Nothobranchius furzeri: one gene and its partner. The protein of the gene in region 1 purifies or fractionates together with the protein of each later gene. This does not show direct contact. Links are inferred from orthologs where the notes say so. Each region holds a gene or a part of one and is shown in the gene's direction. Other genes may lie near its edges. The genes, in order: naa30 and naa38.

The links.
Region 2: the proteins of naa30 (region 1) and naa38 purify together in Homo sapiens (co-immunoprecipitation; 3 studies listed by BioGRID and IntAct, with this or other methods). This does not show direct contact. The link is inferred for Nothobranchius furzeri from reciprocal best matches to the Homo sapiens genes NAA30 and NAA38.

Annotation. Positions count from the first base shown.
Region 1 is NC_091742.1:23,665,612-23,670,173, reverse strand, and holds the start of naa30 (N-alpha-acetyltransferase 30), read left to right. Parts: upstream 1-1,750; 5' UTR 1,751-2,118; coding exon 2,119-2,922; intron 2,923-3,332; coding exon 3,333-3,456; intron 3,457-3,645; coding exon 3,646-3,701; intron 3,702-4,562. UniProt on the Homo sapiens protein: Catalytic subunit of the N-terminal acetyltransferase C (NatC) complex. Catalyzes acetylation of the N-terminal methionine residues of peptides beginning with Met-Leu-Ala and Met-Leu-Gly.
Region 2 is NC_091742.1:58,740,097-58,743,751, forward strand, and holds naa38 (N-alpha-acetyltransferase 38, NatC auxiliary subunit), read left to right. Parts: upstream 1-1,612; 5' UTR 1,613-1,690; coding exon 1,691-1,729; intron 1,730-2,145; coding exon 2,146-2,335; intron 2,336-2,675; coding exon 2,676-2,800; 3' UTR 2,801-3,037; downstream 3,038-3,655.

The DNA of each region.
Region 1 (4,562 bases):
TTGCAGCCATCTTAATCAGAACGGTGGAATCTGGCAAACGTTCTGGAGCACCTGCATCCATCCAGCATGACCCGCTTTTGTTCTGGTGCGACCCCCTGACTTTAGTCCCTAATTAACCCAACAGAAACTAATTAAATACAGCTCTTGTGGACTCAGACGCCAGAGAGGAGGGGAATGGATTTCTTTTATGGAGAGGAGGAGAAGAGGGAGGACGGAGAACACGGGGAGGTGAGTGGAGTAAAGCAAGCAGGCAAACACAAAGCAGGGAGAAATAAAGAAATTAAAAGAAAAATTAGGTGTAGCGTCCTGCCCTTTAATTCTTTACTGACTTCTTCACACGCTGCTTGTTTCCACGTGTTTTGTATTTTTTCACTCTGTGTAAAAACGCATCTGCCAAAAGCTGTAATCACAAGCGCACCAGTAACGTGATGCAACCAACACCCTGGAGATATTTGGAAAAGGTTTGAGACAGGATGGAGAGAGCCGCAGAGAGACTAGAGCAGTGTGTAATGAAAGCAGAAGGGGGAAGAATTAAAAAAAGGAAGGAATGTGGTGGTGGAGGGGTAGATGGAGGCACAGGATGGTTTTTTATTTTTTGTGAAAGCGACGATAGGTGCAAATGAACTCAAAATCGGCCAAATGTCTCTGGCAAGGACACTTGTGCTCCTAGTCCTAGGCACGGCTCTCTAAGTGACAGAGAAGAGAAGCCTGTTCAAGTAGATAGGCCTGGAAAGGAGATTTTGGGGGGAGTGGGGGGGGGGGTCTGATTTCAGCTCTTCAGTGAGGTTTCTGCTTCACGACTTGGCTTTAAAAGAAGAATCTTACTCCAGCTCAACCGCTCTGTTTTGTTCTTTGTCGAGTGTTTTCATAAACAAAACGATTTTTGTGTAAAACGTCTATTCTTTGGCTGCATAAGCATTGATCATGATGTTGCTTTCTATCAGTCAAATTATATGCTACTTCCAAAAACTATCAGAGAGTTAAGCTGAGTAAACTTTACAATGAGGTGTATAGAAACTGAGACATAGAAAGAATGGTTAAAGAAACAAGTCGCTGTCCACTTCAGAGTGGTGCTGAAATCACATGATTGGAGCGTTTATCCTTACAAAAATACTGCATAAGAGATAAACTGTAGATGATGAAATAAAAGTGAGATAGGGATGGAAAATCAAAACTTTGCAATGGTTGGCTGTTTATGGAGTCACACGCGCCCAAAAAAACAACTTGTAAACGTGATGAGTCCGACGCTGGTCTACAGGTGACATCTGCTGGTCAAACTGGAGTAGTGCAGTTGTATAAAGTTGAACCATGGCTTTTTGACGCCCTCTGCTGGTGAGAGAGCAGAAATGAGTCAGCTGTGGGGGCTGATTAACCCCCACAATCTTACAGTACTTTAATATTTGCTTTTGTTTTAAATTTAATTTAATTTAATTTACAAGAGTCATGCATACAACAAAGACAACAAAGAACAACATATCTTTGTTCCTACTTAAAACAATTGCATGTACAAGAGCAAAACAATCAGGAGTGAAAATTGATTACATTTACAATCCAAAATTTCCCCCATAGTATAAAGTTTGTACATTTGTTAGAAAACTGTTTGTCAAGTTGTGATAGTAAAAAAAAAACAATAAAAACTTCTTATGGTAGCTACATTGTTTAATTTCCATGCCTGACATAATTCATGATTTGTGCTTCTTGACTTGGTTTGTTTGTTGGGATTTTATTTATTAATTAATTTGTTTGTTTGTTTGTTTGTTTGTTTGTTTGTTTGTGTTCACGTGCATCAAAATCAGAATCTGCTCAAATCAGTCTGCAGCAGCTCAAATTTCAAGCTTTCCCCGGTGGTAAAAAGGCGTTGCCATGGCCTTCACTAGTGTCGTAAAACTTCATATTCTGTTGCAAAGAGTTTCGCTGCGAGACTGCTTTGCGGCAGCAGAGAAATCGAGGGGAAAGCAGTGCAAGCGTTGCCAGCGGATACGTTACCGCCTCAAAAGTCCTCGGATTTTCACCATAGTCGGCATTTTTTGTCATATATAAATTGTATAACCTCTCGGTTTGTGGATGAAATCGTGTTTAACGTTTCCCAAGCGTGAATCTCCACTTTAATGCAGTGGGATGGCCACAGTGCCGCCTGGGCCTGGTAACGCACTGCTTTCATCCCCGGCTGCAGTTTCTCCTTTCTCCGGGGAAGGGAGCGCGGAGGCGGCGGTGGAAGACGGAGAGCAGACCTGCCACGAGGAGGACTGCGTTCCAGTCGGTACAGGGAAGACGTCACAACCGAAAAACGACGTTACAAGGTCGGTCAGGAAGAAGCGGAAAAGCATGCTAGCTCAAGCTAGCCCGGCGGCGCTGCACCTGAAAGTGCAAGCCCGAGAACAGCAGCAGCTGAACGGCTTGGTCAGTCCCTCGGAGGACCGTGACAGCCATCAGCAGGAGGAGAGCCGGGCTGACAATCTCAGCTCGTCCGCGGACAACTGTGACAGCAGCGGCAGCGAGGGGACAGCAGCCGCGACAAAAAATAAGGAGCACTGCCAACACGAAGGCCCCTTCTCCAAAAACGGCAGTCACTCTCCTCTGATGAACACCTCCGTGAACGGTATGCCGGGTTTAACGAGGACTGCGGCGACTCACGACCACACGCTGCCCCCGAGACCGCCCAGCGACGAGCCACCGGACGGCGACGGGCCCCACGGGGAGGTCAGCCTAGCTCAGCCGCTGGCAGCGGACCTGGCCCGGCTCGACCTGAGCGGCTCCTCCGACCGGGCGGACGCGGACAACCACGGCATCTGCTACGTCCGCTACGAGTCTGAGCTGCAGATGCCCTGGATCATGAGATTAATCACCAAGGACTTGTCTGAGCCTTATTCTATTTACACGTACAGGTACTTCATCCATAACTGGCCGCAGCTTTGCTTTCTGGTGAGTAAAACCCGCCTTAACCTCGCTCTGACTTTGCCCAAAGCAGGAATATGTACAAGATAAGTCGCTGAGCGTGTATTTGAGCTGGGTGTGGCTACACACCCGTGGCTTTTTACCTCCCGTCAATGTAAAAAGCAGGTTTGGAGACTCAAATACTCCCTTTATATCCCAGATCATTTCATTTGACTCATCTGTCGTGTCTCGTGTTCTGTAAAATTGGATCAGGTTAAGTAATGAAATTTGGGAAGTTCCTGTGATTGTGTGCCCTCTGTGGTAAATATCCCAGTTTGTGTGTAAAGGCCACATGAGGAGGGATGACGAAATGAAGGTCAGAGGGCAGATCAGAGGGAGTCAGCAGATCTGACAGACTGACAAGTCCCTAACCTCTTGAGTGTGTGCGTCTGTCGCAGGCCATGGTGGAGCAGGAGTGTGTCGGAGCCATCGTATGCAAGCTCGACATGCATAAGAAGATGTTCCGCCGCGGCTACATTGCCATGCTGGCCGTAGACTCGAAACACAGAAGGAAAAGCATTGGTGAGATGTCCACAATGTCCAGAAAGTCTTGTCCTGTTGCGACAGTGCCACACATGTAGTAGGCCAATGTCTTGGGCAGATGTGTTTACGCAAAACTCCTTTTTAACCAAAAAAGACTCGTAATGTTCTGTATCGGAGCAGACGAGGTTCTCGTCTGGGGTCACCGACTTCTTCTGTTGCTCATTTCAGGTACTAATCTGGTGAAAAAGGCCATCTATGCCATGGTGGAGGGGGACTGCGATGAGGTGACTTGGACACACACAAGAAAAACGTTGTCTCAAACCTGCTTGAGGTTTATGCATTAAATATCTTCGGTTATGGTGTTAATATATGATAAATCATAGATAAATAGGATATACAATCTAATAAGAGGTTAGTAATTGGGTTTGTTTGTTTTTTTCTGAGTCAGAATAATTCAGAAGATGAGACTTTAGTGAAAAATCAACCTTGGATCATCTCATAATTTGGTACTTGGAGTCTAATTATTTGATACCCTGAAAAACTGGAGATTGTTTTGAACAAATACTTGAAACTTTTATTACATTTTGTGATTCTAAAGACATAAGTCATCTAACCTAAAATGTGCTTAAAGTCAAACTATGTAACTTTTTCATATTTTTAAATCATTTTCTTGAGCCAATATGTGATAAAATGACCCTACAGGGTTAATGAAAGACCACCCAGTCCCTATCGCCCCCTGTGGCCAGAATATTCCACTTGCAACTGCAGACTGGCAGCCTGGTGCTGCAGTCTAGCTCCAGCACTTTCCCTGCAATGTTTTATTTCATTCATTCATTGAGGCCTAGTCCACACGTAGCTGTTTTTTTTTAAAACGAATATCCGCCCCTCCAAAAACTTGCATCCACACCACCTCGTTTAAAAAAAACTCTGTCCACACGTACCCGGATAAATACGTTGTTAAGGACATGCCAGACCTGTAGGCGGCAGTACTTCCCCCGTTCTTAACCTTGTCCTTCATCTGTGGTCTTACGCAAGGAGCAGTAATTCCGCTTGCAAAAACAAACGAGCAAAAAGCGCTTGGACAATTGATAAAGCGAGCGCAGCTCTGAGGTCATCCATGCTGTCGGCTAGTGTAAACACAGGTC
Region 2 (3,655 bases), about 35 Mb from region 1:
GACGCCCAAGCAGAGGCCCAGACTTCCTTCTCCCTATCCACTTGGGCCAGCTCCTCTGGGGAATCCCAAGGTGTTCCCTGGGCCTGGCCTATCCCACCATGGCCCAGATGCTAAGCTACATCCCTGAACCTCCTTCCCACGGAAGTTCTCTCCCACTCAGCACAGATGTAGGGTGGGCATCCTAACTAGATGCCTAAGCCACCTCAACTGGCTCCTGTTGGTGTGGAGGAGGAGCTGCTCTACTCCGAGCCCCTCCCGGATGACCGAGCTTCTCACCCTATCTCTAAAGGAGGGCCCAGACACCCTGCGGAGAAAACTCATTTCAGCCGCTTGTATCTGTGATCTCGTTCTTTCTGTCACTACCTAAAGCTCGTGACCATAAGTGAGGGCAGGAACATAGATCGACCGGTAAATCGAGAACTTTGCCTTCTGGCTCAGCTCTCTCTTCACCACGACAGACCGGTACAACGCCCGCATCACTGCAGACGCAGAATCGATCCACTTGTGGATCTTTTGCTCCATCTTTCCCTCACGTAAACAAGACCCCAAGATACTTAAACTCCTCTCTTGGGAGAAGACCTAAAGGATGACCCAGGACACGCTGGTGAGACTGTGTCTCTCAGCCGGCCAGGGAACACCTTAGGATGCCCCGGAGGTGCTGGCCCATGCGGCTTGGGAGAGGGAAGTCTGGGCCTTCCTGCTTAGGCTACTGCTCCCGCAACCCGACTCCGGATAAGCGGCGGAAAATGCATGGATGGAAACTAAACTAAATGAAATCATATTTAACAAAAGTGATTTGAATTGGATCAGATCAATAAATTAATAAATAAAACGTTCAATTTTTTTTTATTTTAAATAAAATGAAGAAAAAAAATTAAATAGTTTGACCAAAATGACTTGAATTGAAATTGAAAAGCAAAAATTACTGAACTGAAATTATGAAAATAAATATTAAAAAAGTTAAGTTAATAATACTGAATTGGACTCAACAACGTTGGATTTGAATCTGGTCCAGACTGTGAAGCGAGTGATGAAAGTAGAATTAAACCTGGCAGTGGACGCATCACTAGGCTTGACTTTTAAACTATGTTACATCGCCCTCTTGTGGTAAATATTGCAAGAACATTTGTAAATGTTCATTCAGGTGTCCCGTAGTTTACAAATATCACTGATATTCATGCTGATATTAAACACTTGAATGTTCCTGTTTTTATATTAAAATTAACTACAAGTCATTTTCCCGTTGAAATTCTAATTTTAAAAGTTTTAAAGCCTTTACTTCCTCAGTGAGCAACATATTTATTTGTGTGACCCTGTTACTCATAAACTGTTTATTTGATATATTTGGTAGACAACATTTTGAAAGTCAAGTTGTTTGAAAACGTCAATTTTTCCCTAAAATACAGAAAAACCAAAGTGATCAAAAATCACCGTGGACTTTCACAGGCTGTAGTTTGAGTTTTATTTTGAAATTCATGCCAATTTGTTTCCGTTTCAATTAAAACCCCAAAATGATATATATTTTTATTTAAACAATACACGACTAATCCTATTTCATGCATTGATTTTATTTCCTAAAACCAAACCGTAAACAGTTTCAGAAAAAAAGAAACAAAAGTACGGCAACTTCCGGTTAAGCTTGTCCGTCAGTAAAACCGCTCCGTAAACAACAGCAGCAGGAGACGAGGTTATGGCAACAATGATTGAGGAAAATGGACCTTCAACTCGTGTATGTTTCCAAAGAAGCTTTTATTTTTCACACTGATGTTTTTGCCGCTCTCTATTTAATTTATTGAGGAACAAAAAGGTTATAAACAGAGAAAGTGCATCTATTTTAGAGCTTCGAATGGAGCTAAATGTTAGCTGGCAGCTAACACACGTTATCGTTACTAGCTAATTTATTTGGTTAAATCGTTTTAACGTTATCAGATATTAACATAATACTGATTATTTTACCTGAACATAATTAATAATTAAGTGTCGTTAACTAACGACATAAAATATTAGATTAGCTACCGAGTTATCATGAGTGTCGTTACCAGCAAGCTTTTAGACGGTTAAATGCACATAACACAATTCTGACGCTCTTGATAAAATTAAACTGATTTAATAGTTATCCGTGTTTTTATTTTTGCCCTCACCCAGGAGCAATCTGAAGTGTCTTCCTCATCCTCGTCATCCTCCTCCCAGGCTAGGCAGAAACTAGAGGGACTCCTCAACAAGAACATGAGGATCCGGATGACAGACGGAAGGACTCTGGTGGGCCTTTTCCTCTGTACAGATCGGGACTGTAACGTCATCCTGGGTTCTGCTCAGGAATTTCTCAAATCTACAGGTATGAATTAGGGTTTCCTCCAATTAGGGCACACGTTTATAGACTTTGATCATTCCAAAACCTGGGAATAGCATCTCTGTTCCTCTGAAATGCACAAACTTGATTTGTTTACTCACTTTGTTTGCTCATCCCAGCATCTAAAGCAGTTTTTCTCTTTATTTTAGTAACCAAACAAGCTGAACTTGGTCGCCCTTTGATGTTAACTGGTAACATGTTAAAATGTGACCTCTTAAGAAATTTCAGGTTTTACAGCATCAGAAAAAGCCTCAACGTTGATCAACAACCGCATAATGATATTATTACACAAGTATAATCTTTTCCTGCTTTGTTTACCTCTCAGACACATTCTCCCAGGGGGAACCCAGAGTCCTGGGTCTAGCCATGATTCCCGGTCACCATGTTGTGTCCATCGAGGTAGAGGTGGATACTCTAGAGGACACACAGGGATTCGGAGCCACACACTGACAGTTTGGCAATCTCTTGGGACTCACTGGGTCCTGCCTAGTCAGGCGAGTTCTGGAGAAATCGGGACATGTTTGCAGGATTTTAACCTGACTGCACTCTGGATTTAGCCATTCCCATAATGACTGAAAGAAATTTGACAGGAACAGTGGAAAAGTGGAAAAGGCCTCTGGGGGAAAGTATGTGTTTGCATAAATGTCTTGTTTTGTTGCAGTATTTTAAAATAAACGTTTACTTGAAGTTTTTGTTGCTGTGAAGCTTGTGTAAAAGTCAGTTTAGATCAGGGAAAAAGCTAAATAAACAAGAATGATTTATTTACTTTAAAGAAAGAAGCTAAGCTGGATTGTTTCTGTACTTTAATACATTTGAGCACATCAGCTGATTTAGTTTGGCCACAAATGTTTTTGCCACAAAGGAAAAAAAGAAAACAAAATCTTTTCAAGTTAAAAACAAAGAACCCGTCACATTTTGGTTCACACACAAGCTATTACAGTCTTAAGGCTGTTAGTTATAAAATAACTTAAGTTTGTGCAAAGAAGAACGTAAAATAGCATAACAGAAAATATGTGTCTCACACGGCCGCAATGCCCGAATCTCGTTTACAGACAGCAGTTTATTACTTTAGGTGTTGCTCTGTGGTTTGGTTCCACACTTCAGATAAATATTATCCAAACATTCTACTCATGATGCTGAAACCCAAGCTCCAGCTCAGCCTAGAGCGTTTATTTATAAACGAGGCTCTCGGATCGCTGCGGAAGACGCTTGGTTTGTAGAACAGCTTTAACAAGTAACGGCCTACAGTAGCGTTTCAGGAGAGGAGAAGCTGTGGAGCCAAAAAAAGGTGCAACTTCAACAAAA